4 linked regions of the Lepisosteus oculatus genome follow. The protein of the gene in region 3 interacts with the protein of the main gene of each other region in a biochemical or structural test. Links are inferred from orthologs where the notes say so. Each region holds a gene or a part of one and is shown on either strand. Other genes may lie near its edges. The genes, in order: mitogen-activated protein kinase 12-like, kcnj2a, dlg1a and pbk.

What was found.
Region 1: the proteins of dlg1a (region 3) and mitogen-activated protein kinase 12-like interact in a test that uses a peptide from one of them, tested with the Homo sapiens proteins (2 studies listed by IntAct, with this or other methods). The link is inferred for Lepisosteus oculatus from reciprocal best matches to the Homo sapiens genes DLG1 and MAPK12.
Region 2: the proteins of dlg1a (region 3) and kcnj2a form a complex in vitro, tested with the Homo sapiens proteins (2 studies listed by BioGRID and IntAct, with this or other methods). The link is inferred for Lepisosteus oculatus from reciprocal best matches to the Homo sapiens genes DLG1 and KCNJ2.
Region 4: the proteins of dlg1a (region 3) and pbk form a complex in vitro, tested with the Homo sapiens proteins (2 studies listed by BioGRID and IntAct, with this or other methods). The link is inferred for Lepisosteus oculatus from reciprocal best matches to the Homo sapiens genes DLG1 and PBK.

The regions. Positions count from the first base shown.
Region 1 is NC_090702.1:48,040,865-48,048,363, forward strand, and holds the start of mitogen-activated protein kinase 12-like, read left to right. Parts: upstream 1-4,087; 5' UTR 4,088-4,508; coding exon 4,509-4,627; intron 4,628-6,270; coding exon 6,271-6,400; intron 6,401-6,969; coding exon 6,970-7,028; intron 7,029-7,499. UniProt on the Homo sapiens protein: Serine/threonine kinase which acts as an essential component of the MAP kinase signal transduction pathway.
Region 2 is NC_090704.1:42,980,049-42,988,160, reverse strand, and holds the start of kcnj2a (inward rectifier potassium channel 2a), read left to right. Parts: upstream 1-4,996; 5' UTR 4,997-5,175; intron 5,176-8,112.
Region 3 is NC_090708.1:2,032,874-2,041,051, reverse strand, and holds the start of dlg1a (disks large homolog 1), read right to left. Parts: upstream 3,289-8,178; 5' UTR 2,517-3,288; coding exon 2,498-2,516; intron 2,103-2,497; coding exon 1,971-2,102; intron 1-1,970. UniProt on the Homo sapiens protein: Essential multidomain scaffolding protein required for normal development. Recruits channels, receptors and signaling molecules to discrete plasma membrane domains in polarized cells.
Region 4 is NC_090697.1:56,986,347-56,994,240, reverse strand, and holds the start of pbk (lymphokine-activated killer T-cell-originated protein kinase homolog), read left to right. Parts: upstream 1-4,617; 5' UTR 4,618-5,312; intron 5,313-5,720; 5' UTR 5,721-5,806; intron 5,807-5,923; 5' UTR 5,924-5,945; coding exon 5,946-5,997; intron 5,998-7,029; coding exon 7,030-7,126; intron 7,127-7,825; coding exon 7,826-7,894. UniProt on the Homo sapiens protein: Phosphorylates MAP kinase p38. Seems to be active only in mitosis. May also play a role in the activation of lymphoid cells.

The sequences.
Region 1 (7,499 bases), on a different chromosome or scaffold from region 3:
TCTCTTCCCAGTATGAAATAAACCTTTACTTGTTCCTTTACATTAAACTAGTGTTCAAATTTCGTCACATGCAGTACTTCTTACAAGCAATGGCTGCTTCAGGTCTGTAACCCATCGACGTCGTCAGGCTCCTGATACGTTCCTTTGAGACGCTTTGCCATTTTTAGTTGTTGCTCGTCTGTGTGGCTTTCTCACTTTGTGACGTGTTGAGGTTTCCTCTTCAACAAGTGAAATGCAGCTCAACAGGATTCAGATCAGGAGCCCCGTCCAAGTCAAGAGTTTCCACTCCTCCCTGCTGATCTCCGTGGTCAAGAGCGTGCTGCGTCTGGAGTCCTTGTAGTCATGTGCAGGGTGAACAGTCGTCCAATGAGATCAGAAGCAGTTTTTGGACGTGGGCAGACGAGATGTTTCTGTAGACTTCAGAACTGATTCCGATTCAGCGAGCCAGCCCTGGAGTCCTGCCCGAGCCGTGACACCACCACCACCATCATGCTTCAAAGTGAGGTGATGTGCTGAGGAGCTCACAGTTCCTCTCTTGCTCCACACTTTGATACAGGTTTATCTTCATCTCGTCTGTCCATAAAACTCTAGTTCCAGTACGGTTGTGGCTCATCTTTCTACTTCTTTGCGAATTCTGGTCTGGCCTCGCTGTTTTTAGCGGCGATGAGAGGTTTGCTTCTGGCAGTGTAGTGCGCAGTGAATTAAGATGCCTGCATCCCTGCTCTCTAGAGATTGACTTATGGGGTTTTACTTTATAGCCCTAAGGTTTCTTCTTCCTTGGATGACCTGGTCTCCGCTGATTGCTTACTCCTCTAGGAGTAATTCAAGACATTTCATACTGTTGATTTCGCAATGCCCGCTCTCTTTAGAGTGCTTGCCACATGTGTCGTGGGTGTTGGTGTTGTAGTGGTGTTCTATCTGGGATTTGTACTGTTTCTTGGCAGATTTTATGCCAGCTCTTAATTTTTTCCTAGCCCCTCTCAGTTCTTCCTCATTGCCAGATTTGAAGGCTGCATCACTGGCTTTGAGCAGGGAGCGGATCTCAGTGTTCATCCAAGGTTTTTGATTCAGGAGTTTGCGTATCTTTTTAACGCTCACCACATCATCAGCACATTTGCTGATGTAGCTAGTGGCTGCTGATGCATACATGTCAATATTGGTGTGGGATCCATGGGAGGCTGCATCTTTGAACACACTCCAGTCTGTGCACTCGAAACAGTCCCGAAGCATTGATTCTGCCTCTTTGGTCCATGTTTTTACAGTTATAACTGGAGCCTTGGTGCGTTTGAGAAGTCGTCTGTAGGCTGGGAGTAGGAACAGGGAGATGTGGTCAGATTGTCCAAGAGGGGGGTGAGGTACTGCTTTGTAAGCACCGGGTACATTAGTATAAACAAGGTCAAGTGTGTTGTTTCCCCTGGTGGGGCAGTCAACGTGTTGGTTGTAGATGGAATTTTCTGATCTCATCTTCACTGTTGCTTGAGGTGACAACTCCCTGGTCTTCATCTTGGTTTAACTCAAGGGGCAGGTCCAAAAAGTAAACCCGGAAGACTGGAACCAAGGATATACATTGACAGCTCCACTGCGTTTTAACAAGTAGAACGGAAACATCCATCAGGCATTTGTCCCAGTACTTACACTTGTCTGAGATGGGGAGTTTTAACATAATAAATGCCATTGTTCCAACATGGCTAAACCTGTATGCTAAATAATACTCTGAAACAAAATTGGAAACTCTATACTTTTGCCTCATATTAACCTCTTGATCTGAAAATCAAATTGCCATTAGCATACATTTCATTTGACTGTGCCAATAATCATGTTTTCACTGCTGGTCCAAGCCTGGCGGTGAAATTGTAAGATCTGAGACAAAGTATAGTGTTCAGTCCACCATCAAAAAGGATATTATAGCCTTAGAAAGAGTTGGCAACAAGAGGAGCAACAATAATGTGTCCTTGTGACACGGTATGGCTGTATATGGGCAGATTAAAGGAGCTGCAGTTAATCTCTTCAATCCAGAACGGATCTAAACCAAGCATACAAGATCCTAAGGGGTACAGAGTCCAGGGTACTGTTTCACACTCAATAGGGCAACAAGGAACAAGGGATTTACAGTCGGGATTCTAAAAGGGAATTAATATAGGACAGAGAGGAGGAAACACTTCTTCACACAGAGTTGTGAACAGTCAGGTGAATCAGGCCCAACTGCTGGGCTCCTCCAAAAAAGATCTGGCATTCATTTTAGATTCACTTAACCACCGAACTACCACATGAGCAAGATGGGCCGAGTGCCCTCCACCTCTCACTTGCTGTCTTTTCTTTGTGTGGATCCCAGGCGTTTTCAGACATTTCAGCCTTGTGCAACACTGTTGTAAAAAGTTGTGACTGAGGGTTATCAATACAGTACATCCTTGGTATGATGAGCTTCGCTTTAACGGACCGAAACAGTCTGTAAAATCAGAACTACTGGACTTTCCCCGTAATGACGATGAAATGCACAAATAGTTAAATATTACATGGGTTCGAGATTCAGGAATAGCAATGGTGCCCTATAGGGGTAGGTCCACTGCTTATAATGGGTTTGTGTTTTGTATGTTTTAGCAAATTTGATGCAGTATGTTTATGACACATGAAATAAAGAGTTTGTGTATTCATAAGAGGCACAGGTATATTTTTTATTGACTGTGCTTATTACAATGATAAAAAATAATTCAAAAGAGCAAGTAAACATATAGTGTATATATATAATGATGGAAAAAAACGCAACATTTTCTGGAATGAGAATACTATAGCTATAGGTTATGTACTTTCACAAAACGTTGTCAATTTGTTTTAAGCCCTCTGACCAGCAATACAGCTTGTGCAGTGAGGCATTGCAGCTTGCCAATCACACGAAAGCTCGTTAGGTGCAGTTTTACCCAGCGAGGTCCAGGTGGAACAATGCCTGATCAGGTCACCTTTAAAAAGGCCTTAATTCAAAGCTTAGGTCACTGCAAGAAAAAGGGCAGACTTAGTCAGTTTTCTGTGCATTCCATAATGGCTCGAATGTCACCAGAAGCAAGGGAGAGGGCCATTGGCATGCTGCAGGCAGGCATGTCATGTGCCAGCGTTGCCAGACACTATGGAGTGAGTCGCTCCACTGTGTCCCGACTGCAGAGAAGGTTTCAGCAGACCGGCAGGACAGATGACCATCCAAGATCCAGTCGCCCTCGAGTGACCACACCAGAGCAGGACCGACACATCAGACTGGTCCATCTGAGAGATCGTTTCAGATCTGCCACCCGTACTGCTGCTGAAAGTGCCGGCAGACCCAGTGCCCACATCAGTGACAGGACAGTGAGGCTCCATGCTGCTGGCCTAAGAGCAAGGCGGCCTGTCAGAGGCCCTCTGCTCACACAATTTCTCTCCCTGGCCAGCTGTGCGGTGTGGCTGCTGTGTGTTACCCAGGGCTGGATGATCTGGGTTCTCTCCTTTATGTAAGGTGCTTTGGGATTCCTCATGGAGAAAAGAAGGCTTTGGTGTTATCCTGGGGGAGTAATTAGTGAGGGCGCCAGAGCGATCTGTATCCACTGCTCTGCTTAAGGTGTACCCATAATCTATGTTCTTGTACAGTTAGTAACTACACAAGTTTACAGATAAGTTAAAAAAAAAACAGGTGGATCAGTAAACCCTGTAGAGGTCAAAAAAGAAAATGCGAAAGCTTTAGTTTTGAAATCCTGTAACTTGGAAAAGGCCTGGCTGGTGGGGTTATGGTTGTAATATAGGCGAGAGCAGCGCGTTGCCCAATGTACACGACGCCAAGACATCAAACTCTACAAATAAAATGAGAGAAGCGAAGTTTGAAGTCTGTGTTGTTGATACTTCCTTTTCATCTTGCGCAATGCGGAGGAGCACAAAAAAGGCAACTAAACAACGTTAGGATTTATAGTAAAAGGTTAAGTGGTGTCTTAGGTGGCTGGAGGTAAGGAGTCAGATAACGCAAGGAGGAAGCAGGTTTCTGGTTTAAAGTCCGTGGATGCGCTAATTGATTCAGGTGGGTTGTGGCCTTTGGAACTGAATAGCTTGTACTACATACCAAGAGCTTGAGGATGATGTGTGTACTAGCCTCGTTTCAGTACTTTCAAGGCGTGTGCGTGTGAGGAATGTTTCTCATTCCGGCTCCAGGGTGAGTTCCCGTCAGACGGTGCGGATCACACCTGCCCTCTTACCGGGGGCGAGGGAAAAAGAAACACGAGTCTGTTTGGGGCAACAGACCTGTGCGCCGCGGAGGCGCAGAGCCGAGCGCGCAATACAGGAAGAGCGTCTCTGAGAGGAGGGGATCGTGGAGACGGGAGGGCGACCAGATAGACAAACACACACACGCACACGCACACGCCGCACTCGCTGACTGAGTGACGGGGGAAGAGAGAGAGGGGCGCTGCGCTCCGGAGGCTGCGAGCGACAGAGAGAGAGAGAGAGCGCATCGGAGGGACCGGCGTGCGGTCAAGCTCGGCTTCTTCACCGGTCGGAGAATGACGACCCGGACCAGACCCGGATACTACCGGCAGGACGTGAACAAGACGGTGTGGGAAGTGCCCGAGCGGTACCGGGAGCTGAAGCCCGTGGGCACGGGGGCGTACGGCACTGTGTGGTGAGGCTCGCCTGGGGTTCATAGAAACACATCTGTCGCCAGTTTGTCCCGCGGGGCGGCCGCCCACGGAGTTTGTGGAGTTGTCTCGCCGGTTTCGGGGACGCGCAGACACAGGAGAAGGAGGGCGCCGAGTCTGAATTAGCAAGGGAACAATAGAAAGCCCGAGCCGGTCTATTTGCTCAGCCCGCAATGTATATTTGCGTTCTTACTTCCTCCTTTCGCTCTCTCTCATCTCTCCGGCAGCCTCTCGGCTGCCTCCCCTGCCTAGCAGCTCACATCTGAGCGAAGCGACCGTGCAGGTCCGGGTGTTTCAGACGCCCGCACCGAGCCACGAAAGCACGGTCTATTTCAGCCTCTCCGTGTCTGTGCAGAGCACAGGCAGAAGTTTGTACAGTCGTGCCCGAGTGGACGGTGGAAAACCAGTTGTCTTCCGGGTTAGGAAATGAACGCTAGCTGCCGAGTGTCCGTCTGGCACTCCCCTGCTCCTCTCTGTCAGGACTTGCAAGCGGAGGAGGAGGTGTGGTTAATAACTTGGCCCGGTGGAGGCAGGGTGTCCTTAAACGTCTCCCTTTCGGCTCAGTGGAAGGGAGGGTAAAAAAAACACGAGTGCACTTTTACAAGCCCCCGAGCGTCGTTCACCCACCACGCGGAGCTATAAAAGCACTCGGAAGTAGGACAAGACCACAAGGGGCTGCGAAATTTCCTGAAGCAACCCGTTTTCAAACTGCGGCGTCGCAGCAATGCGCTCGACGATCTGATCGGTCAAACACCGCCGGTTCCCGGCAACGCCAGGCCGGTGACGTCACCCGCCCTGCCCGCAGGAAAGGTCATTCACACATCGCTTATCTGTCGCACCTTCGCTCAGGTTGGGAGAATCAACAGGTGTGAATCAACTACTTTCTGGGGGTCAAAAGTAGTTAACAAGGAGTTCTTGTGAAGTTCCTACTGGTAAGAACAAGAGTGCGGTATCCCCACCATACATAACCAGATAGTATAGGTTCATTAGAGCTCTGTAAGTTTTACGAGTTTTAATAACATTTTCGAGGCCTTCGTTGGTGTTCTGTTTCCAGAGCGTTAAGTCTGCGTGCCCTCAGCTGCTTAAAACAATAATTATAATAATAATAATTGCTTACACTTATATAGCGCTTTTCTGGACACTCCACTCAAAGCGCTTTACAGGTAATGGGGGCTCCCCTCCACCACCACCAGTGTGCAGCCCCACCTGGATGATGTGACGGCAGCCATAGTGCTCCAGTACACTCCCCACACATCAGTTATTAATGGGGGTGGAGAGCAGAGTGATGAAGCCAGTTCAGAGAGGGGGATTAATGGGGCTGTGTTATTAATCTCTGACCTGTTATTAATCCCTGGCTCACTCGGCGCGGAGTAGTTGCCAAAGCACAGTGTTTCGGCCGTGGAGCCGCCCCCGGGCTCCGCGTCTGGAAGGAGGTGTTCCTTCTCCTTCCCGCTTGTCCGCGCCAACGGCCGTGCGCTGCTCCTCCGCCGCCGGCGCGCGCCGAGACAGCGGTTCCTGGCCCGGATACCTCCGCTGCCCTGCACTGTGGGTGTCTCACGGGCCTGTTCTCGCCCTCCCGCGGGCCGCCGGGTGTGTGACGGTCCCTCTGCGGCTCTGCCCCTTGCAGCTCGGCCGGGGACCGGCGGACCGGGACGCGCGTGGCCATCAAGAAGCTGTACCGGCCCTTCCAGTCCGAGCTCTTCGCCAAGCGGGCCTACAGGGAGCTGAAGCTGCTCAAGCACATGAAGCACGACAACGTGAGTACGGCTCTCTCCGAGCCTCCCGTTTTCATCCACCTCAGGGCTGCAAGGGGGCCGGAGCCTATCCCAGCAAGCAGTGGGCACAAGGCAGGGTACTCCCAGCCCATCGCAGGACACGCACAGCCCAAACACGCTCTCACACCAGGGCCAGTTGTCCCAGAAGCCACTTAACCTACTAGTATATTTTTGTCCACACGGACAGCACCCCAGGTATTGAACCAGGAGCCCGGTACTGTGAGGCAGAAATACTTACCCACGGCAGTAGCACCATGCCACCCATGGAGAAATATAGTCTTCCCTATGAACTGGCAAGGAGAGGGAAGATCTCATTGGTGACCCTGCTTGCTCTGTGCTCCTGTCCTGTGTTTTTCCTCCACTCTCTTCAGCCATGCCTTTGGAAGAACTCACTGCTTGATTAGCCAGTCCTGGAGAGCTGTGGGTAATGAAAAGTGGGTGGTGACTGGAAGGGTCTCTTCACCCTAGCCAGTGGGTAGGGGGGCAGGTGTGATGTGGTGTTACTCCCCGTGCTGAGCGGGACAGTGACTCTTCTCTCTGTCTCCCCACAGGTGATTGGCCTGCTGGATGTGTTCACTCCAGACATCTCTCTGGACAGATTCCAGGACTTGTGAGTGTCCCCAGGTTCCCACAGTGAGATTTGTCCACGGGTCTTCAGGCCGTTGGAAAGCTTACAGATCTTTCTTGAAAGAAAACAGGGTGTTGGTTTCAACAACGTGGCTGTGTAGATTGTTCCATACTCCCACAACTCTTTGCATAAAGAAGTGTCTCCTGTTCTGCAGTGTGTACTCCCCAAGGATTTCGGGCACTTGGTTGAGTTCTCACTGTAGTAACCTCTTTTTTTTTTTATGGGGAGGCCCCACCTGTACTCGGTATTCGAAACTAGATTTTCCTGCGCATTGTGAAATTTTAACCCAGCGTCTCTTGATTTAAGTTCTGTGCTTTTTAACCCCATACGCTGGCGCTCTGTTGGCCCTTCCGCAGATGTGGGGGTCTTGATGGGCAGTGTGGACGGCTCCCGCCTCACACGGCGCGCTTCTCCAGACACGGGCGAGCTGCTGCCCTTGTGGGGCTCTCCCTG
Region 2 (8,112 bases), on a different chromosome or scaffold from region 3:
GATGCATAAAAGAATAAATAAATATATTCAAAGGGTAGGAGTGGGAAAAAATATTGAACACCATTATCCAGGGATATTTATATTCCTGTATGTTACCTATGACGTTGAGAGCAATGATCACATACGTTCACATATTACATCCATCTGACAAAATGAAATGAAAAATAAGGCCATTAGAAGCTGGAATAGCTGGAACACAATCCCTGTGCCAGACCAGGTGCCAATCAGTGCACAGTGTGGACACCAAGCAGCATGAAGGACGACTGGTGTCCTGCACATCAAGTCAACACGCAGAGCACACTGCTGGCCTGAGAAGCAAGGACACGTGTTCCAACAGAGGAAAATTACTTTACTATAAACCAGGTAATAATAATAATAACTGCTTACACTTATATAGCACTTTTCCTGGACACTCCACTCAAAGCACTTTACAGGTAATGGGGACTCCCACCAATGTGCAGCCCCACCTGGATGATCCGACGGCAGCCATAGTGCGCCAGAACGCTCACCGCACACCAGCTCTCAGTGGGGAGGAAAGCAAAGTAATGAAGCCAATTCAAAGATGGGGATTATGAGGAGGCCATGATTGGTAAGGGCCAATGGGAAATTTGGCCAGGATGCCGGGGTTACACCCCTACTCTTTTCGAGAGTTGCCCTGGGATTTTTAATGACCACAGACCACAGGACCTCATCCGAAGAACAGCGCCTGTTTACAGTATAGTGTCCCCATCACTGTACTGGGGCATTAGGACCCACATGGACCCACTGGCCCCACTAACACCTCTTCCAGCAGCAACCTTGGTTTTCCCCAGGAGGTCTCCCATCCAGGTACTGACCAGGCTCACACCTGCTGAGCTTCAGTGGGTTGCCAGGTGTGAGTTGCAGGGTGATATGGCTGCTGGGTAAGGTAGAAAACGTCATGGATGTCAACAATACAAGCTATGCTGGAATTCTCACCATGCTCTAGGTATAGTAGATACTGAGGGAATTGATCTCAACAGAAGTAAGAAATGGCTTACTTCACATTGTAACAGTTGGAAAAGCTAGATTTTTCAGTTAATCTTTTTTTATTTACAAAACAGAAAAAATGTCAGAGGAAATCGTGCCCATCTAATCAATTTCCCTTACCTTGGAAAATAAGATTATGGGTCCTACTGCAGTCTGTATTAACTTATTTGATTGTTTCCTCTACTTTTAAAAAATCTGATTTGCACAGACGTCGTGACGTTTAAATTGACCTTTGATTATAATTAACTAATGGAATTAAAGCCTACTTTATTTTTGTACACTTTTTGGATTACATATTTAGAGCATATTTCTCTACAGAAAAGCAAGCTCATTTTTCTTTTAGCTTAACTCCTCCTGGAGCCAAACTAAACCTTCTAACACCTGCAAGCTCTCAGTGTACTTAGCTTTATGGAAAACATTTAACACCGAGTATCATTCAGGTGTCATAATTAATTTCTGGGGAATTAGGTTATACGACCTGTTCTTTATCCAAGCAATGTTGTTCAAAGCACACTCATACAGTATGTAAAGGACTTTGTATCCATGGTTAGAGTATCAGAGAATACGTTATTTACTGCAATAAAGTGATAATTAACCACTAGCGTTTTGCAAGCTAAGTATTGCTTGTGAGACGCTAATATTTTACTCCCATTCAATGTTCAAATGCAATGCTTACTAGTCTTAAACCCGTCCCGTAAGCAATGGCCACACGCACTGAGCTCTGACACGAAGTGTCTAAGACAACGGGAAAATTTATCTTCTGTATTTTCGAAACATTGCGTTTCTGCTCTCTGTTCGATGACTAGTATCTAAAAACGGGGAAACGTAACGTTGTATTTTATTAGGTAAGAATCTCCAGTTCTCCACCTTGTGGCAGAATGAAGTACCAACTTTGTTCCCAGTAACTTTTAATCGCCCATGAAAACTAAACACAGACACCGAAAGCCAACTCACGCAGCATGCCCGAGCTAAAATTACTCCCCGTTATTTATAGCAGAAGCAAAAAGGTAATAAAAACAATCACTTCTGTACAAGTACGGGGGCAGTTCGTGGCACAGTGATAATGATCAGTGTGCGTGTCATGATATCAGATTCAACAAACGCCTGAAGAATTCGCGATACTAAAAAGATAACGAATAAAAAAAAACTGTTTATTTTCTAATGAGGACGACGTTGCGAAATGAACGACATGTTTTTAAGCTCTAACAGCAAGCAACAGGTTCCTCCAGTCCAAAGCAGGCAGCTGTGGAAATGGTTTCAGTTTCGACGGCCTAGGCTAGGTTCAACACTTTCTACGCACTCCAGAGAGAAACTGTATATCCAAAGTACAGAGTATGTAGCACAAGCTGGGGAGATGTTTCACAAAGCTGTTTCTGCTTAAAACTATCACATACGTGTGCGTGATGTGTGCGTTTTGTACAATGTCACCGCGGCAGTTTATTGTAGCAAACGTTCATTTTTAAATATTCATAGTCATGCCAAACGCCCGACAAAGGAAACCAGAATAAAACACAACAAACTGGTGCCCTGTCTCACTGTAGGCTATCAAATATCAATACTATTACAGCTCAAACATCCATCTATTATCCAAAGTTGATTCGACCAATGCACGTCCAACCAAAGAGAGGGGGAGCCTAACCAGGCAGACACTGGGAGTCACCGCGGGTCACCAGTCCATCACAGGGTGCACACGCAGACACACACAGGGGCAATATGGAGACCCCACGTAACCCAGTCAGCATGTGCTTTTTTTAAGTGTGAGATAACACACAGGAATATGAGGAGAGCATTCAAACGTCTTGCCCAGAGTCTAACCCAGGATGTGCATGGTGAGTCAGAGATCTAAGCTCCATGCTCCTGATGCTTCAACCCTTTCAACACTCCATTAAGAGCCATTTGGTTGCTCTTCAGTCTTGAGCATCCTTTGATTGACATTAAAGAAAACGCACATGGACACAAATAAAAACCCTGGCAAGCTCTGTGTAATGAGAAGCACCATTGAAGGCAATTTCTATATTCTTACAGTCTCTAAGACTGTGCTGGACATACATCAATGAAATGATTTTTTTTAAAATCAAGATCAAAACTATTTTGGAGATCAGAGAAACATGCTTGTTAAAGGAACACACCATTACAGTGCATATGAGCTACCGCAGACCAAATCTAGGTCTTTTGTTCAGTAAATGAAACTGAGAGAGGTTATTGACATATCTCTTTACTCCGTGATAATACAGTTGAGACACAAGCGCGTTACCCTGAGCATTCAGCTTTTATATACTGTATGTGAAGACTGGATTCACATCAGCAGAACAGTAGCCTATTGAAGGGGCTCACGGAGTGCAGGTTAACAGCAATGAGTTAATGTGGAACTAAACTGAACGCGAGAGAAGCAGCCAAATTGCATCACCATTGGCTAATAATAACAACACCATGAGGCCCTGAGATGAGTAGGATGAAAGCAAAACGCGTGCAGTCCTACAGTATGTACGCATCATTTCGTGATGATGACCCAAAAGCGTGACTTGCCGCAGATGGATCTGCAGCATTCCGGGCGCAGCTGTCAGCACAGATAGAACTTTTTGAGCGTTGGTCTTTGGATCTGCAGGTTACTGAAATTAAATAGTGCAGAAAACGAAAGCGGCACGCTAACCATCTTTTTTAATTAAAACGCGAACTTTCTCATTGTCGTGAATAAAAACAAACGCGGACATTTACAATTTAAGATCGTCCGGGAAGAACATCCTTAATAGTAACTACTCATATACTGTAGGTTCCTATATGCAGCTGGTAACGTTACCATGTTCGTGATTAGTGGAATGAGTGGTTAAAAACAAATGCTATTCAGACATAGAAACAAAACATTTCTTGACAGTCACACGCAATAGGGATCTTATTATTATTTTACTGTAGCCTGTAACTGAAAACTACCGCCTACAGGTCGGCGTCAGACTTCTGATTGATTCAAAGATATTTTAAATGCTGTTTATTGACACGTACGAGGTCTAGAAATATTACTAGCAAAGGTTTATGTTCCTGTTTCCCGTTAAAGAAGAAAACGTTTTGTTCTAGACAAAGCTAACAACTCAAGTTTGTTTCCTTTTCATGCAGTCTACGGGATTTTAAAGTTCGCCGATTTAGTGCCCAGAAGAAAGTGAAAACATATACACTAGGAAATATATATCATTTATATAATAACTTGTGGCAGCTGTTTTGTTGATCGGATGCAGTTGTGGGAACCGAGATTCGGTTTCACAGTACTACGTAATGTTGTCATTTTGCATTATGGTTTCCGCAAAAAAAGACGTAAAAGATACGCCACAGAAATCTAACAACTTGGCTTTAACAGTTCCGTCACGTTTTACCTCCTGTTTTCAAAGATAAAGTAAACTCTCAGAATGTGCAATTAACATTACTGGACACCACCAGTACGGAACCACCCACAGTAAAGCGAATATATTCTGTCGCCTCTTCAGACCGCAGTAGATAGAAATGCAAGCATGCAAACATACTGATATTATTTATAATGAACTGCTCCTTGTTCATCACAGAGAGCAGCAGTAAATCAAACCTGGTAGCAAGCGCTACTTAACTGCAAATCAAACTTTGCCTGTTTCGCTGTTAAACCAGAATATGGCAACTACTGAACTCCGTTTAACGAGAAATAAGCCATTTAAGGATCTCATTCATTGAGAGCAACCGTAGCAGTAACTCATTTCCCAGGGTGTCAGCAGCCGACCTACTCCAGACACCTTGCTCAGACAGCAGCACTTCTTCGTGCAAGGAGGCTTTCAAGATATTTAGTTCAAGTAATCACTTTCAATATCTTTCCATTAGTAACAATACTGGACAGAAGTTTACAAGCGGTCGACAACTCACGCCTGCCCTTCTGCAAGTCGATTGGCTACGAGGGAGATGGGCGGGGGGAACCGGTACACGCTATTTAAAATGCATGGTGGAAACTGTAGGCTTGCCAGATTACCACTCTCAGTCATCGCGGTAGCGAATGGGGCATTGGTTTTGACAGTAATTTTTTTTTAAAAAAAACTATACATATATGAAATTATATAAGGGCAACCTAATGTTGGATACTCGAGAGCAATAAACACCGGGGATCTATTCTATATCTGTTTACAGCGGGGTAACCAGTTTCCCTTCGGAGATCAACAGGTAAGAACTTCTCATTTGTGTTTCTGGTGGCCGGGAAGGCTCCGCATGCTGTTCAGTTACATTTACCAGCAAGATTATTTCCTAAAAAACAAGAATGCTTTTAAAAGCGGTAGTTCTGGAAGACTACGTAGTTCCCGTAAATGCTTAGCTGTCAAACTCAGAAAGATTCTCTGAAGGGCTCTCGCAGACCTAGGACCTAGTTGTACTGTAACTTTTCATTTGTGTGCTATCGTATGCATTACAGATTCATATACGTTACAGATGTCATTAATATTCCTAGATACACAGTAGCTGACATAGGCTAGTACTGTCTTGTATGAAAATATGGCGTTAGAATGAATATTGGCATGCAAACTTAAGTTGAAGTCTTAGCAGTCTGTAAAATAATCAACTATCTGGTATCCATTTTGCAACAAAGCTCGTCCCCCAGAGTGTGAAATCCACGACTACCAAAACAATTTCAGGTTTCAACGTGTATAATGTTATAGGTATACTGAAATCACATATATTTTTTTTTTCAAATATTACTCAAAAAGTCATGGTTATTGCGTTTAAAGAACTAGTTAGCAACCTTCTTGTCGTTCGCTTCAAATTAAACCACAGGGTGATTGAGAGAACTGTCTTTTCCTTCGGGTTTTCTACAAACGTGTTAACATGTTGTAACATCTGTGGAAGTAGTTCTGGGGTGTATGGATAAACTCAAACTGACACTTGTAACACCAATCATAGCTCAGGTTGCATCACTCTGCGCTTTAGTCTGGAACTGCGCTCCTGGTGTTCCAAGTACCCGCTGAGATGAACGGACAAACCCGTGTTTGAACTAGGCTGTAATTTTTTGATCTTACTGAGTGTTGTCCCCCAGAGTGAATCACCCCTTCTTTGACTATTTGCTCCCTGAAACTGAACAAACGCCTGCCCGAGGGTATCGTCTTATTGGTGCTGCACCTGTTACTTTTTCTGCGTGCAAGCTTGTTGCTTAGGATTCAATTGCAGTGATAAATGGGATCCTCACTTCCTATATAGGTAAACATCATCATTGTGTCTCTAGCATGCTAACTGCACAAAGATATACAGAGCCTAAACCAAGAAGACCAACGTATAACAACGTAAAGAGCAATACCGAAGGGCTTCACCAGGTAATCTGGGGTGCCCAGTTGTTTCTGAAACTTTTGAAAAGTACTTTTTTTTCTCCATTTCTGCATCCAGTGAAGTATTTTTCCACTCCGTGTTGCAAATGTTGAGCTCAAAGCCAGCAAGAGCCCATCAGGTTATGTAGCCAAATCATACGATATTACGTGCTCGTTTGCTTCTTTTTAAGAGCACGACACTACGTTGGCTCACACACTTGAACACGCGCGTCTGGCAGAAAAATATACGTGATGACAATACACCATGTCTGCAAGCCAGTGTACAGTATGTGCATTTGTCACAGTTTGTCATTATCAGCACTATCAGAGCGTCACCCACGCTGCCCTCCACCCCGTGTTCTCCATCTGTTTCTCTCCAGACGCCGAATTAGTCAAAGCAAGCAAGTAACTGATGAAGTACAACATTGCAGTTCAAAGAAAAAGGTCTTTAATTCAAACAAAATCCACATTTGCAATTGCTGAATGCATTGATACCCTGCCCACCATTACCTGTTCACCTGCCCCAGCTTGTTGTAGGGTTAAGCAAGTACAGTATAGTGGTATTGAATTTCCGTTAGAAATAAATCGATCTTTTAGTGTATAAAAATAGAGTGAGGTTTATGCAACATTTTCCATTTGCCTCCTCCCTGCCATGCATACAGTATGTGGTCACAAACAAATGCATGCGCCATAGAAGTCACTCCATGTCTATCACATTGCATGTTCATCACAGAGTCAGAGAAACAGTTAAAACACTTCTCTTTTGTTTAATCAAGTGGTATTACATGAAAGTCGAACCAGTCACATGTGTGGTAGTGCTGTATTAAGCGATACCCTGCATCACTATAAATGACAGTGCAGAAAAAAAAAGTTTCTGTTCAAGAGGATGCTCCGTACTTCTTTCCCCTCTGGAGCCTTTCTGTATGACATGTCATGTTTCATTAATCTCCAAGTCTGCAGGATTTTGACAGGATGCATGTCGCTGGTGGCTAATGTACAAGCAAGGAAGGTCATCAGGTGACACTCAAGCTGCTGTTTAATAGCCTACACTCAGCTTGTGAAATAATATAGAGGTGATGCATGTATGTTGGTGATTTGGAGCACTAACTCCACTGTGTTCAGTAGCCCGTTAAGTACCATGCTGTCTTTTTGTGTGTTTCTGTCATGCTCCACTATTTGTTTGTTTACTTTATACAAAAACATAACTGTTCTGGAATCAGAGCAGCCAGATATTCTGGAGTCTAAGAGAAAGTCCTGCCATCTATGTAATTACCTTACTGAAACTGACACGCTGGCTGCTTTCAAGAAACAGTTGGATAAGATCCTCATATCAATTAGCTGTGAACATCCAATCGGGCTGAACAGACCAAATGGCATCATCTTGTTTGCAATCTCTCTTATGTTTCTACATTCAAATACCCCTGATGTGTGGCCGTAAGATTCAAGCCTTACCTCCTCAGCTCTCAGAGACTGGCATTAACAACCCACTAACACAGTACTTGCCTGAATAAGACAGTTACAGATGCCTTACACCAGCTTGGATTTTCAAACTATCCAGAAATCATTCTACGGCAGCTTTCAAAGTTTAAATAAAACTTTCATCAAGTTGCAATTTTTGAAAAGCGCTCATAAATATAATTAGTTATTTTAGATCATTTGAATTAAAGAAGTGTTAATGCCAAAGTTATCCACTGGTTACACAGAGAGATGCAATTTGTTCTTATTTTGCCAGTTTCTCAAGAAAACATCTGTTTAGATATATTCTGTATGTGTATTATAGTCCACAAATAATTGAAGAAAAAAGCAATGA
Region 3 (8,178 bases):
TACTGGGGACAGTCCATCTATTATTAATTCAGAAGGCTAGAAAAATGTTCATGAACCGTTACGCTGGCCCTGATACAGTCTCTGTCTCCTGGAAGCAAAGAGCTATTCAGAAATTACAGTTGTAGTCTACCAGACAGGAAGCAAAGCACCCAAAAGGTCAGACAGTGAAACGTAAGCACTGGCAGAGAGCCTTTCTCAGAAGAAACTGGGCAAAGAGGGAGGCCTAGACTTTAAAGAAGCCTGAGTCTACAATGAAAGAATGAACAACTCCGGTCCAGTGCTCATGACACTCTCGCGTTGCAGTACGGCAGATGTTTGAAATACTGTCATGCCAAAAGTTTACCGTAGCATCCAGAGCCCAAGAGAACAGAACTTTTAGTGAACTTGATGCATGAATTACAGTGCCAAGATTTGATGCATTAAAAATACAATAATCAACGTTGGTTCCAGTCCTCACTTGCTGCTTCTTTAATACCTCTCTGTGCACATAAATATTAACCCCCAGCCAACACAGTACCGCACATGTGTTAAACTTAAAACCTTTTCCTTAACAGTGCTAAGAAAGGAAACTTGAGTTTTAGCGTGCACACTAGGACCCTGGATAGAGAATTAAATTCCTAACTAAATCCTTACATGACTTAAGAAAGCTGGCGAGGGCCAGTCTGAATACAGCTGAATATCTGACACCAATATTTAATTCTGTGAGCGTGGCAAAGGTTCCCTGACTGACCCAAAGAGGTGGATGAAGGCAGAACGGGAGAACACTTGTCCTTGGCCAACAGAGGCGTGACTTCACACAGCCACGAGAAATCTGCCGGGCTCTAGAAACCGCCCTGTTTTTCACTGGCTGTGTGGCAGAGAGGAAAGGAGGGCTCCTGCTGGTTAAGAACCTTGGGCCAGGAGCCCCTTCTGGTTGCTCTGTCCGTCGCTGGGAGCGTGCGTCTCCGAGGCGCGTGCAATTACAGCTGCAGGAAACGGACCGAAAGGAGTGGCGGGAGCATCAGGAAGGAAACTTAACGGCACCGTGTGAAGGCCTGCAGGACTGACTCCATCCTAGAGGAATGCCGGAACGCTGAAATATCCGAGCGGGAATCCACTGGAATCCGCTCCTGGGTTAAAACCACAGAGCCAGGCGCTGGCAGCAAACGGCACCGAGCTGGGGACAGTCACGCACGACAGTCACACAGGCTGTTCCCTACAGGCCTTCTCGGTTTAGTCTGCAGAAGTTTCTTACATTTACGACACAAAGAAAACTAGGGTGCTATGGCCTTAACCCTCAGAGCATCTACTCCAAATGTGTTCTTAAGACTACAAATGCTTAAAGCCATCTTAAGAACTTGACACGTTCTGCTGCTCATCTTGGTTTTTGGCTCCACCACCGATTTTAATTCTACTCCACAACTTGCTAGTTGAAGAAAAGAGAAGTTCCAGTATTCCCGATAGTATTTCTAGGGAACTCGGGGGCGCGATGCAGTGGAGCTGTAGGAGTGATTCACAACCACGTCCCCTCCTGCTGCCTGGGAAGTTACACCTGAGCAACACCTGGCCGCGTTGGAGGACCAGCAACAGGCTGCCCGGGGTGCAGCACACCTGCAGCCTGCAACACGGCGACCTGTCCCATCTTACGCAGGACTCACTGCTTTTAATACTGTACTGCCAGGGCAAAAAAAATAAACAAAATTCCCACGGAGCTGAGCACAGCATTGCAAACAGCAAGCCGTGCAACACCACACAAAATGACACCAAATTTTGGGAATGAACAGAGAGCAGAGGTCCCAGCCTGCAGGATCACAACAGCCCCAAGAGGGAGTCGAGTCAGCAGTCAGCTCCAACCGAAGCCTCTGTTTGCGAATCTACCGGCCGGACTCTCGCATGCAGGCCACCGTCACCGTGTTTCTGGGACCCGGGGCGCAACAGAAAGGGAAGAGGGGAGCTCATTCAGAGGAACAGAGGCGCTGGCACGGCCGTACCTATGAGGGCCTGGAAGAGGTTGCTCTGAAAGATGGTGATGACCCTCTCGATGGAGTGGCGGAGCTGGCGGTCCTCGGTCTGGCTCAGCTTCTCCCGGTACTGCTCCAGCAGCTGCAGCGCTCGCTGTGCATCTGCGCGGACACCACACTTTCCGTTAGCTCGCCGGACAACGTACGCACACAAACACACACACGGGCTGCCCCTCTAACAGGTTAAAAAAAAAAGACAACAGCCCATCGCAGCGATTTCACTTTTTCAGTCCCCCCCAGTTGCTGCCGAAACCCTCTGCAGCCCCCCAGAAGCAACCCGTGCACTCGCCTGCCCAACTCGACCCGCACAGAGATCCTGGAGCAAGTTTCAGTAAAGCAAGTTTTGTGGTGTGTGTGTGTGCGGTTTAGTTTTACATTAACACGGGCTTCTCAGCTTCCACACGCACACTGCTCTGCCCCCATGCAAACTCCATTACTCGAGAGACAGGACGCGGGGGTGTGGGGTACCTACACCCCCAGAGGGATGCGAGGCTCACCTTTCTTCCTGACTGGCATGTTCAGTTCCGGCGCTGCGGAGCGGAGCCCAGCGAAAACCCAGGAATTAAAATCTCCCAAGAAAAGCAATCCTCCGGTGCAGCCGAGCGCCCTTCCCAGGAGCAGAGTTTATCCGGGCTCGCATGAAGCCCCGGTGAGCCCTGCGCACCTCGCGTCTCGGGTTTCTGAAGAGCTCCGCGCCGGACCCGGACACGGACACGGGTGGGGGTCCCCTCGTTCAGCGCCCGGAACGGCAAACTCTGGGCAGCGGGCGAGCTGCAGGGGAGGCACACGGGAGCGTGCAATCCTGGGTCGGGGAGTTTCCTGAAACTTTGGCACCACGCGAAAAGAAGGAGAAGGGGGGGAAATCCAGCCCCCCCTGCGCAGTCGGGTCAGCCAGCCAGGAGCGGAGTTAGGCGGTGCGTACCTCCCCCAGCCCAGCACTCGCGTCCGCGGACACTCGGGGGGTTAACGCTGGGGCGGAGGACCTGCAACTCCCCTCTCCACACCCCGGCCACAAATCACACCCAAGCCCCGCTGTCTGACAGAAGCAAAGTTGAATCCGATCCTTCGCGCCGTCTCCCACTCATCCACCCCCTTCCGCCGGGTTGCTCGGCGTTTTTCTTGGGGAGTACTTGTCTGAACTCGCTCCCCCGCCTCGATCCGGCAAATCCGTTGTCAGCTCCAATACTACTACTACTACTACTTCTTCTTCTTCTTCTCTCTCTCAAACCGAACTTCTCCCCGTCTTGTTCTCTCTCTCTCTTCCTCCCCACCCTCTTTTAGTATCTCTCTCTCTCTCTCCCCCCCTTCTGTGCCCGAAATTCCAAACTTTCCTCCAAAATGGCGGCCGGCGGCTGGAAACACCGTCACGTGACCGCCCTCCCTACCCCCGCCCGGCCAATCAGGAGTGAGAGCCGGCACGGGGCTACCTTGGCACGCGGCGGGGGGGAGTAGGAGGGGAAAGGTGAGACTCGAGAGTTTCTTAAAGGCGCGACGCGAGGATGCCCTGCAGCAGACACCTGTCCGCAGCTGAGCCCCGAACAGATAGACGCGTCAAGAGCACACAGCACAAAGCGCCGCAACCCAGAACGCGGAAAGAGACGTGCACGTTATCTGGGAGGAAAAACAAAATTCCAGATCGCAAGAGCTTTTTTTTCCCCCTTTTCTGTGCGTGCTGCGTGCTTCTGTCACTTCATCTCCGTCTGTTCACCCCGGGATGGAGGCGGAGGAAATGAGTTCCTTCTGTCTCGGCCAACCCAGCCCGCCTTGAGCGCCCTGGAATGAGGGAGGGGGTGAGATTTGCGCGACGCGATCGCGAACCGGGGTTTCTCTTGAGATTAACCTACTTCTTTCGCCCTCCCGACTACAACTCCCCCCCCCCCCCGCCGCACAGAGCAACAAGGTTGTAATCTCCGTGTTTAATGAGTTCGCGGAGAGCAGCTTCCGATAATCTGCAAGGAGGAGGGCGGGCATACGCGCGCCCAGGTGAGGCCGGGCGATCGCAGGCGCCTTCGGGTGGACCTGTGCGAGGAGCGGCCAGGGCTCCGGGGGTGAATTCGGAGTGTATCTCGCTCCTCGTCGTGCGAGATCTCCCAGGTGTGCCCAGGTGTGCTGTCAGCGTGCCGAAGGAACCGGCTGCCGAGACGCTGGTTCACCTGAGTCGGTGCAGCCGGGGAGCCTCAGAGGCGGCCGCGCTTGATGCGTGCACCCCCTCCCGCTCTGGAGACCCCAGCACTGACTTTAGAGTAATTACTTCTGGGGCCCGATGTGACAAGACACATGCCCGAGCCCGGGTGAAGGTCTCCCCAATGAGAGAATCAGCCACGTTCAGCGCACTGGCCAGCTGCTTATCACAGCAGATACACAGAGCGATTTTAATACTCAGCAGTCAGGGTTTTTTTTTTTACACGAATTTCATTCATTTAAACAAAACAAGGGGTTACATCCACGCCGACAACTAAGAAAAACCACAGCGGCTCGGACTGTGGAACCTCCCTTAAAAGATTCTTCACACCCGAAGAAGGCTCCACAGGCGAAACGCTGTGTTTTCTTTCTTCTTTTTTTTTCAGCATGGAATGAACCTATGACTTGTTCCTTTACCCTTTATTGTCTTAACCTCCGTTCAAATCATTTCCACAAACGAAGCAACCGACTCCAGAGGCAGGGGCACGGTGCCGGGGAGAAACCGGACGCTGAATAAGCACATAGTGCGTCGGAGTTGACACACTTGTCAGTCAGTCAGTCAGTCACTTGCCACACCGAGCCGATTGCGCTGAATGCGAACCCCTCGGTCTGCGGGGATACGAAGTTCGGGGACGTGCGTCAAGCCGCAAGAAGAAAGGACAGAAGGTCAGGGCCTGGCCCGGTGCGGGGTGCAGTACATCATCGCCACGCAATGCACGAGGCGGGCAGAAGTTCAACTGCCCGTTAGCCAGCGGCGGCGGCGGCGGGGGGTCATCGCAGGTTCCGGAAGGGCAGCCCGGGCGCCTGCAGGAGGCGGGGGCCACCACAAGGGGGCAGGTTTTTTGTGTTGTTGTTGTTGTTGTTGTTCCTTCTGGGAGGGGGGTTGTGTTGCATCGTGTCCTCAAGGTTACCCCCCGCCCGTCCCTCCGAGTGTGGCTTCCGAGACCGCTTCAGTGAAGTGAAGAACAGCGTGCCGCCCCTGAGCTCGCCTAAACGGTGCGCCAATTAACGGCACGCTCGTACACGGTAACTCTTGATTCCCGATTAAATCTAACACCCAGGCAGCCACGAACGGAGGGGCCTCGTGCTGGCTGTAAGCGTGGGGGCTTGACCACTACAACGCTGGTGTCTCACTTTAGGAATTTGTCCTACAGTACACCACTGGGCGGTTTTTTGCTGACGATGTGTCTGTTTCCTTTGTTTTTTTTTTCTGTCCTGAGCGCGGCTGGACTGTTGTTAAAGACACTATCCCAGGTCTTTCCTACAGAACTCGTTCTCCTCCTCCCTCATCAACATTGGCCTCCTTGGATTCCGCACTTTCTTGTCCGGATGCCGGGGGGGAGGCCCTTCACAGCCGTGCTCTCAGACCTGGGGGCAGGTCGCTTCACGACGCTGTTACTTTCGGAGGGTCACGCTTTACGGGTGACCTTCCCACTCTCGGAGTTCCTCGGGCTCTGCTCCAGTGCCGAAGGGGAACAGTGTGCACCAGGCCCTGCCTGCCACCTCTCCTACAGAAGCCCACTGTGGGAGCCATGCGGGAGAGCAGGCGGTCTGTTTCTCCGCGGCTCTTCGTCTCTGCTGTCGTGACGTTGCCGTAGTACTATTCCATACGGTGCACTCCAGCGTCGTCTCAAAACGAAGAGCTAACGATTGATATCGGATATCAGAGTGGAGTGAGAGTCAGGAGGCTGGGCTCATCTTGTCTGTGCACACAGCAGACCGGTGTAAACTCTGTGCTGTAACCTGTTCATTGGCTTCAGGTGCACCAGACACAGCAGAAGTAATGGGTTACTCTGCCATTTCAATCACCTTTCAAGCTGAGCTCTTGATTTCCCAATGACCTGGATGAAAACCCCTCACTGGCCACCAGGGACCAGGACACTCCCAGGTGGCATCTTCCCTGTGGAAACCAGCCACACAGCACAGCTCCGGGAATCTGGAATTGGCAGGGAGTCCACAGGGAGCGTTTTGATCTGCAGAAATATCGTTCTTCCTTTCTGTGTAGGAGCGGCCTGATTAATTCAAGCTCGACAAGAAGCGTTCATCATTTTCAAATGTGCTCCTCGCTGAGGACGGAGAGACGTCTGGGGGAGGAAGAGGCACCTTTCTCTTACCCTGGTGATAAGCCTGCCTTTTTGTTTTTCAGTACGTTTCTGCTTTGTTCATTTCTGTTTTCCCCGAGTTTTAACTGACATTTAAAAAAACAACAACTCAGATTTGCTCATGAATACCAGAACCGAATGAACAGAAATTGACTACACAGACATTACTAGCCTTCCTTGAGAGTAAAGACTCCAATTAATCTAGAATCTGGCATGAGTCCTCGGTGTTTTAAGCAGTTCACGGCTCACGTTCCTGCAATGAGTGAATTAAAAACAGTAGACAAACTGCCAAATTATTGCATCAGTCTTTCTGTTTATTCTGTACAGAGATGCATTTTCGATACAATTAATTAGCAAAACATTTTTAAACAGAAATAAGAGGACCACGCTCGAAGCAGAGGAGATACTGAAACACTCTCTATATTTCAAACAACTGCAGGATAAATCTATTCCAATCAGCCCACTCTTGCCAACAGCCAGATGTGAGACATCTGTCCTGAAGCACTATCGTCCTCTACAGACGATACAGCCTCTAATGAAAAATGCCAAACTATCAGACTCCCAGTGGTCTAATTGTACCCATAATTAACTCAATAATTTAAAAAACCCGTCAGTTGTTTTTTGTCCTTGATATTAAGGTGTGACCGATAACTGAAATCTCCCGTTTGCCAGTCCCTGAGGGGCTGCAGGTAAGTACAAGAAAAGATCAACCAGTAGAGGCTGACATTCGGTCAATGAATTTGAAAGGCAATGAACTTTGAAATGTTTCGGAGAAGCTCCTGGCAGATCGGTGGGACTAAACGAAACCGACACACCGTGGGGAGGGTTGTGATCTGCTGGGTCTGCTTCACAAGATGAACCCTAACGGTCTGTGCTGTCATTTTGAAACAAACCTCCAACCCTTCCTCCTCCAGATGGGCAAACTCTCTTTCACGTCTGTGTTCTCACAGTGTACCCTGAGCTCCCGGCGGTCGTGGTGCAGGGATGGGGCTCCTATGGGGCTCCTATGGGGCTCCTCGGGGGACCGCTACAGGTGTGTCCATCCACAGCAGAGCTGGTTCTGCGTCAGGGCACCAGCAGCAGCTGAGGGCTGGAGCTTTCACTACAGCAGTACGGATTTCCTTCGAACCTCAAGTCAAGCCCGGGAGCTTCCTGACAGCTGATGTACTGTAATGACAGTGCAGCTGAGGGCTTATGGCATTGTACTGGCCCAGATGGTCCCAGACAAATCCAGCCTTGCTTCATATTATAAGTGTGTTTATGCAAACCCCAAGAGTTTTAGTGCCAAGTGCCCAGACCTTTTCCTTCAGTTTGTCTGAGCCGGCGGAGGACAGCCCTCACCTTGCAGGTGTGCTGTTTTTAAACAGGAAGAAGGGAAGGGATTCTCCAGAAAGCAGGGTGACTCATCAGTGTTGGCTGTTCGGTTTCGGAACGCACGGAGGCGCGAAGGAATCACGGGTCCCAGATTCCCCCTGCACTCCTTCCATGTCGCACTTCCAGTGGATTTCAGTCACTCGGGACAGGAGGTTCGGCACCACAGCTCTGAAGACTCTTCAAAGACCTGCGGGCGCGCAGCAGCGATAGCCATGAGGGAGACATTGGTGATGAAGGACAGGAAGAAGGATGACGCCAACAGCAGCCCAGCTGCAGACCGGACGCCGTGAGTGAGATAAGGAAGCTATTGTCTGATCTCTCAGAGGCACCTTTAACAGTCCCAGCAGCCCGTGTGAATGTGCTGCCTGGAGCATGCCCTGTCTCGTCTCAGATAAGGTGGGAGGGGTGCAGTCTCCACCTGGGAGGCTTTGTCCTTTCATTTCTAATAGTGCTGCCCCAACACCCAGCGAGCACACACCCTTTCTCCAGAGTGCTAGAGAGGACTGATCTCATGTGGAGCT
Region 4 (7,894 bases), on a different chromosome or scaffold from region 3:
GGTGTAATATTTTCAAGGTGTTTTCTTACAAAAGAACAGAAAAAAGTTCCCTTTTAATTACCTAAATAGAAGCAGTGAATTATGACAGAGCACTGTTATTTTGTCTTGCAGGCAATAGTTAATGACCTGTTTTATTTGTCAGTGTTGCTTGTGCTAAAAAGTACAACAGTCTAACATATAACAAGTGAGGGCAATGGAATTACATATCAGTTTGGTTAAAGAACAACATTTAAGGATCTGCTTCATTATATTGACATTTCTGAAGCAGCTCTTCAAAGTAAACCAGCACATCTGAGTAATTCATTTTTGGATAGCATGAGAGTCCTCATCAGACACAGTTGAAGATATAATATTTGCATTGCACCAGCTTTAAACTCTCTAAATGACCGAATTGGAAAATAAACCATGAGAGTCAATTCATCTTATTACACCACAAAGAAAGTGCTGGTTTTGTAAATCAACACAAATGTTTTAGTCGCATTCTCAAATTTTCCATAACTTTTCAAACATTTCGCCACCTTCATTCTTTTACATAATGACCACATTATAAGGACCCTGTGATTGATATACAGTATGTGAGTTTCATCTTCTTCTTTACCCTCTCCCTGTGTTTGTGTTGTCAGCCTAACATATAGAAAGTGAAGGCACTTACTCTTTGTGCTGTACTATACAGTATGTGCAACATACTTTTTAAATACGCACGCATATTTCACAGTAAGAGTGTTATGTATGCCCTTCCTAAATGCTCATTTTCACAACCTGAAAAAATGCAAATAGCACAACAAAATCAGATCACAAAATCTGAGTTTCATTAAATATCAGAACAAGTCATGAGTTAAACAAACATAAGTTAAAAAAGTATGGTTTCTGAATTGCACCGTTATGTTTTTGACTGTGGTGTTTTACTAATGTACTCAGATAATTGTTAGTGACTAACTTGTGCCTGTTTGGGAAAATGAAATAAGAAATGTTGATCCATAGGGAGTTTGTTGGGGATTGTCTGAAAAGTGCAGAGGGGGATTTCCAGAAATCAGCATAATGTGAGCTGCTTGTTAGAGATAACCAGCCGGTACTGTGCAGACATATTGATCAAAACTGTCTGAATAAATGCCTGAGTTGTCATGTTATCCTCCTGGAGAGAGAATCCACTAGATGCCAGAGACTCTGGGGCTTCCAGATAAGGTTGATATTAATGTCAAAGCTGGTACTTTAGGTGTATAGCTGCTATCTTGTTGAGCAATATAGTTATACTGTATACACTAGTTGAGCAAACTGGCCAGGGAATCACTGTGATCAGATCCTGACAAAAGGCAGCAATAGCACAGACTATACATCTGTATAGGTCTATTCCACTGTTCTGCTCTTTTCATTCAATAATTTTCTTTTTAGGTACTGTAGGAAATAATTTAATCAATATTGTTTTACTGTAAGTTGACTATTATTATTATTATTATTATTATTATTATTATTATTATTATTATTATTATTATTATTATTATTATTCCTGACAACAGTTGACAAGTGAATGGAGAAGCCACCCACCATTACTGTGAAGATCTCAGGTTTTTTTTACATCAGCCCACCAGTGAAATTTCTCTCTTTCACTATTTCACTATATAGCTTCAGGGAATTTGATGTCAACCACAGTTTGATGCCATGTGGACAAGAATAAGTGACGGAGGCAAAATATCAGAGTGGGAAGATGTTTTACGATAAATCTGAGCATCATCTGCATAACAATGAAACTGAAGACAAATAATAAAATGCAATGATCCCAACACTAAACCCTGTATGAATGGATGGAAATAAAAAACTGAAATTCTTCTTTACAAAGCTGTTCAAGCTCTATCAAGTTTTTCTTGCACTGATGGACAGCAGTCTTCAAATCATGCCAGTGCAGGGTTGGCTGTGTGCTTTAAGTCATGTTGACAGATGAACATCTATCCCAGTTTCAGCTATTTTGCCGGAGGCAACAGGTTTTCCTCAAGGACTTTTCTGTAGTTTGCTCAATTTGTTTTCCCATTTTTCCTGACAAGTTTCACAGACCCTACCGATAAGAAATGCCCCCATAACATGATGCTCCTACCACCATGCTTCACAGTAGGGATGGTGCTCATGGGTTGGATGTTGTGTTGGGTTAGTGCAAAATGTCCCACTTTGATTTACAAATAAAAATAAAAGTCCTATTTTATTTAATAAAACCCAAAACTTTTTTACCACATGGCTAAGTAAGTTAAATGGGATTCAAGGTGAGTTTTTCTGAGTGATGGCTTCCTTCTTGCCAACCTGACATTTAGGCCAAAATTGTGGAGATGTTGGGATATTGTTGTCACATACACACTTTGTTCACTTTGAGCCACAGTCTTGAGCATAAAGGACTGTAGCTCTTTGAAAGTTGTCTTTGGCCTATAGGTATCCTCTAATCATCCTCCTCGTTTCTTGACCTTCCAGCTGAAATTACAATTGGAAGCTTGTCACAAAATGTCTCTTATTGCATATGAAGTCTAGGAGACAAATCTGGTTATGTACAGTGTTTCATTCCTGCAGTTACTTTCAGGTGTGGTTCAGACAGCACAGTCACATCAATAGTTGGTTGACAAGCTGTCAGGATTTCAGAGATCATCCCAACTGTGTGTGCTAGAACTTTTAAATCAGTTCACCACAGGTGGTCGTAGTCATCATGTGTATGGTCACCTTGTGTGACAGATTATGATTCATTGGTAGATATCTCTGGTTCTGTCAAAAGATATATGACAGATGATCTCTAGCCAGGATTCATGGCGGTGCGGTGGCTCTGTAGCTAAGGGTCTGCACCCGTGGCTGGAAGGGTGCCGGTTTGTATCCCACGGCTGGCAGATAAATCTTACTCTGTTGTGCCCCTGAGCAAGGCCCTTAACCCCAACTGCTCCAGGGGTGCTGTATAAATGGCTGACCCTGTGCTCTGACCCCAAGCTTCTCTCCCTGTCTGTGTGTCTCATGGAGACCAAGTTGGGGTATGCAAAAATACAAATTCCTAATACAAGAAATTGTATGGCCAATAAAGTGATCTTATCTCAGATATACAGATATACATACCTCTTGAAACTGACCTGTATGTGTCACAATGTTCATGGCCTACTTAAAAAATAATGAGAATTTATGAAAAATACATTGTTTACATTTCTCATCCACACTATAAACTACACAGCATGTTACCTTATCTTTTGGTATGCAAAGTGGCCTGCCTTTTCTCAACTATTTTGTTTGGGCCTTCACCAGCATCCTCAGTCGCTTTTACTGATCCCTTCTAGGAAAAACGGAGAGGACTCTTTCCTGTTCTTTTTTCATCACACATCAAACTCTCTTTCACTATCTTCTCACAAACTCTTTTACTCTAGGCAATGGGGTATTTATTCTGATTCTCTGACACCCAGATATCTTTCTCTTATACTGTTTCATCACTAGGCTTAGACGTACTCTGCCTTAACCAGTGCTCTTTCTTTTCACAAACATTTTTTCAACACTAAACTCAAATCTTCTCTCTGCCACTTTTAAAATTTTCCACACTCTTGGTGTTTCTTTACCTCTCACTCTTCTCTTCGCTACTCTTCTCCTGACTGATCCTGTTTTCTTATATCCTCTAGAATCTGGCATCTCTGACAGTAGCAGCTGGTCTGTCTGCAGTTCTTAGGACACGAGGTTGTACTTGTGACTGAACTTCTTTTGTCCAAACTGCTTCTCTTTTGACTGTGATAAGAAGCTACATTGCTGCCTTGCCAGGTAGTATCCCACTCCTCTAGAAACCAATACCGGCAGGTCAGAGCTTGAGTCCCACACGCCTATTAGCCAGTCTAATCCATTTCATGCTAGAAACCCTAGCATTGGCCTCTCTTTTTCAGCTTGCGCTGGGCAAATGCTATCTTCTGCAATACAAAACATTTTCTTACTACGACGTATAAGGTACCTGACTTGTGGCTTCTGACTTCAAGACAATGATACACTGTAATATTCTTTGAAACCCGGAGTTTGTAATTTGCTTTAGCAATGGTAATTGAGGAAAAAGAATATTGGTTGAGTGCAATTAATCCTGTGTTTTTATTCTTGTAGTCGAGTTGAAGGTAGTTACATGCAATGACAATTACTGTTGTACTCATAAAACAGTAACTACTTTTGCCCACCAGTTAAGAATTACTGCGCAAGTGTTCAGAAATGGTAGAAAATCATGTTAAAATATTTTGATACCTAGACGAGTGCTGCCCTCTTTTGGTGAAAATGACTATTATTACTTAGATGTGAGGAAGAACAAGCTTTTATAAATCTATATAGACATTTTAGACAAAAGACCTCTTTTAACTCCTGTAAAAAGCGCCCTGAACCTGACTTTATTACATATTGTTTTTTAGTGTTGAGTGTTTCCTGCACCGTCTACTTTTGGAAAATCCGGTCTAAATTTGTTGCTATTCTTTAATCACTCTAAACTTCTTTGCACAATAAAAACACTTCTTTTTTTTCTCGTTGTACACTGCCTGTGAACATTTTGCATTTTTTTATTGCTTCACAATGGTTACGCAAGATAAAGATTACGTAAAGAAGTTTTGGACAAAAGATATTTTGAGGAAATTTGATTTAGGTACATTATCAAAAGTCGTAAAACAGCATTGAGCATCTGGATAAGCCTCAAAAGCGCAAAAATATGTTTTTATTTTTCTAGCATGGAACTTTTTTTGCTAATCTGTGCCTCTCACGTTAATTCCGCTCTAAACTTGGACTTTTACACTAAATTTGAAACGTTTAAGAGCAACCTTTTTTATTTTTTCCAAGGGAAATATATATTTTTTCTGTTTGAAAAATCAATCATTGTCTATCTTGGATTTTTATCATACAATGGACTCTCCGGGGTCAAATCTGAAGTTTCTTACGTACTGCTGCAGTATCATCCTCAGTTTGTCTTTTGCGTGTCTTACTTTATAGATGTCATTCTTTTTGACTCAGATTTTTCATGTTTATTAGCACATTAGTGGATTGCAGGAGTGTCATTAGCAGTTCGTACCTCACTCTGTTTTAGGACTGGAAACCTGAAATGACTTCCTTCGCACTGCTCCAACTGCCAGAGAATCATTCTCTTATTTTTGGAATAGACTGCAGGAAGAAGACACACAACAAACCGAAATTGAAAAAAGCAAACCGTCGAGTGAAAAGTGAAACAATTTCATTTTCACATCAAGCCACGCTGTGTTTGTCCTTGTTCAGCCGCCGTTTGGTGCCCATGTGATACAAACTAAAGATTTGAAAGTAGGCGCGCCAGAATATTTTGTAGACAAAGGAAGATCTTGGTAAGTGGGATTGACTTGTGTTTTTATATAAATACGTGAAAGGAGCAACATAATAGCATTCAAACCTGTAATAATATAAAGTAATGACAAATATTTCTGTTGTGAAGAAAACAGTTATTTTTGCTATCGTATCCAATGTGATTGAAGTTCTTTATTAGCTTGCGTTTTTATAAACGAAACTGTATGGATCACTTTATTCACTTGTACTTTTCTGAATCGAGACAAAAAATAAACTTACTTTCAACAGATTTCAATTAACAATTCTAACAATAACAAGCCCGAACGATGTAAGACTCGGCTATAAAATCGGCTCTGTGCAGTAACTGCATTGATCTTTCACTGTGTTTTCTGCGAATGTGACGAAACTGAATGTGTATAATAAATTTCCGTAATCTTTCTGTTTTCCAGTCCATTGGAGAATGTTATTGTGAACAACAAGTTTTTTTTGACTGAATCAAAATTCAGTACAAAGATTACCCTCCTGTTAAATACAAGTAAGGCCAGCCCCGAAATCGAAACTTTCTATTTGGCGGTTAGATTGTGACAGTATAATGTGTAATTATAGTGTAATTTTTCCAAAAAGTACAAATATTTTCTTGTTTTATCCCCAGCGGCACTGTAATTCCAAACGGCATGGAGGCGGCAAACACATTTGTGACCCCTGGCAAAAAAAAGTTTATGCCTGGTAGGTATGATTCAATATTTTGACAAATTCCAGGAGCAACTGCATCAGTGGTTTTAAATGTGTATTACATTTTACGTAATGAAGAGACGTCCAACAGATGCTATTGTTTTTCTGAATCCTTTAGGGGTTTACATCAACAGCACGACCTTGTTTTGTTTAGTTTTTTTTGGATCAAATGTCTTTACTGGCAGCATACTAGGTGCCTACCAAGCTACTGGAAAGAATATACTAGTAAAAATGCCATCCCCATGTATTTTGCTGCTTGTTACGTTTATTTGCTTACAGTACATATAAAAAAAAAACAATTAGAGACAGGGCTACCATTAGTTCTTTTACAAGACTAGACCTAACTCAGCTGTAACCTAGATCAATACACAAACACACAAAAGAGCAATGAAGTGATAAGCATGCACAAAAGTAAATTAGTCCCTCCAATCACATATATAACAAAGACCCAACTCTGCTAATGGAAATTGTAGCAACTGGTAAATATATTTGTATACAAAAGGTCTTTGGATTAGCTGATGGCAAACAGGAACAACAGAAAAAAAAGTTCAGTTTAGTAGAGTTGTGATACATTTCAGTGCATCTATTTCATTCTATAATTTAAAAAATAAAGGAAATGTAATTGACAAGCTGAAATTGACCCAAACAGTGTAATCATTAAATCATTAAGACTAAAAAGGGGATATTTTTAGGTATCTTTTAAATGCAGACATTTTGGCATTACTTAATCACTGTTCTCTGTGCTTTGTTTCTTCTCAGGATATGTAACTATTACCCAGATGTGAAGAACTTAGGTTCTGTGACCTGAGACTTCTCTAGTGAATTCTCTAGTGAATTTCATCACCCTTATTACTAATTAATTGCCCTTATTACTTCAAAAAGAAAATAATGCTGTAAGGTAGATATTTGTTACATAAAGTACAGGAGGAAGAAAGGCAGAATGACTTTTTTTGTTGTTGTTGTTGTTGTTGTTGTTGTTGTTGTTGTTGTTGTTGTTGTTGTTGTTTGGTTTTCTTTTTGGAACAGATGGATCCCCTAGGGCTAGAAATATAACAATCCCTGCATCTCCTTTCATGAAAAAACTTGGATGTGGAACTGGGGTGAATGTATATCTTATGAAAAGGTTTGTAGATGTGTGCAATGAGGTGAAATGAATAGGTACTGTAGTTCCCATTTACAGATGGTGTTGAAACTTCAATTTATTAATGTGAAGCTCTGCTAGATAGGATTTCAGATTATGTTCCCCTTGCAGAGGGACTAGGTCAGAGGGACCTTGTTAGAAATAAAATTGTATTAAGGTATCAACAGGTATAGCAGATGTTTATTTTAGTGCTAAACAACAAGAGAACTGTTGTTAGTTTATTATTATTAGGGTTTTCTGTTATTAGTCTATAAGTAAAATGTCAATTTCAACTGAATTTGATACTTTTTTGAGTGATCTCCACATGATTACAAAACATTAAGACCTTCAACACTGCAGTTGTGTTTTTTAAGCCATGTATATGTTGCATACTGTTTAACATTTATCTGCAGATCTTGTTTAATTACTGGCTAAACAAAAGCACACAGATAAAAATGAACTGGATGTTAACTAAAGGAAGAAATACAATTTAAACATGTTTGGAAACAAGGTGTTAAAATGTGTCATCTCCTTCCAATGACAAGTTTAAACTATCAGTTGTTCATTCAAGACAAGGTAAAGAGCAACTCAATGTTGTAGTTTTCATTAAGAAATAAAGTTAAAAATGGTGCCTTGATCAAAAAATGAACATCTCAAGCAGAAGTAATAGGGATACTTGTTTTTGCATTGTTCTTATTTCAGAACAGGTAGCCAGACTCAGTCTCCATGGGCAGTCAAGAAGATCAATAGCCACTGTGCAAAAACCCAGCA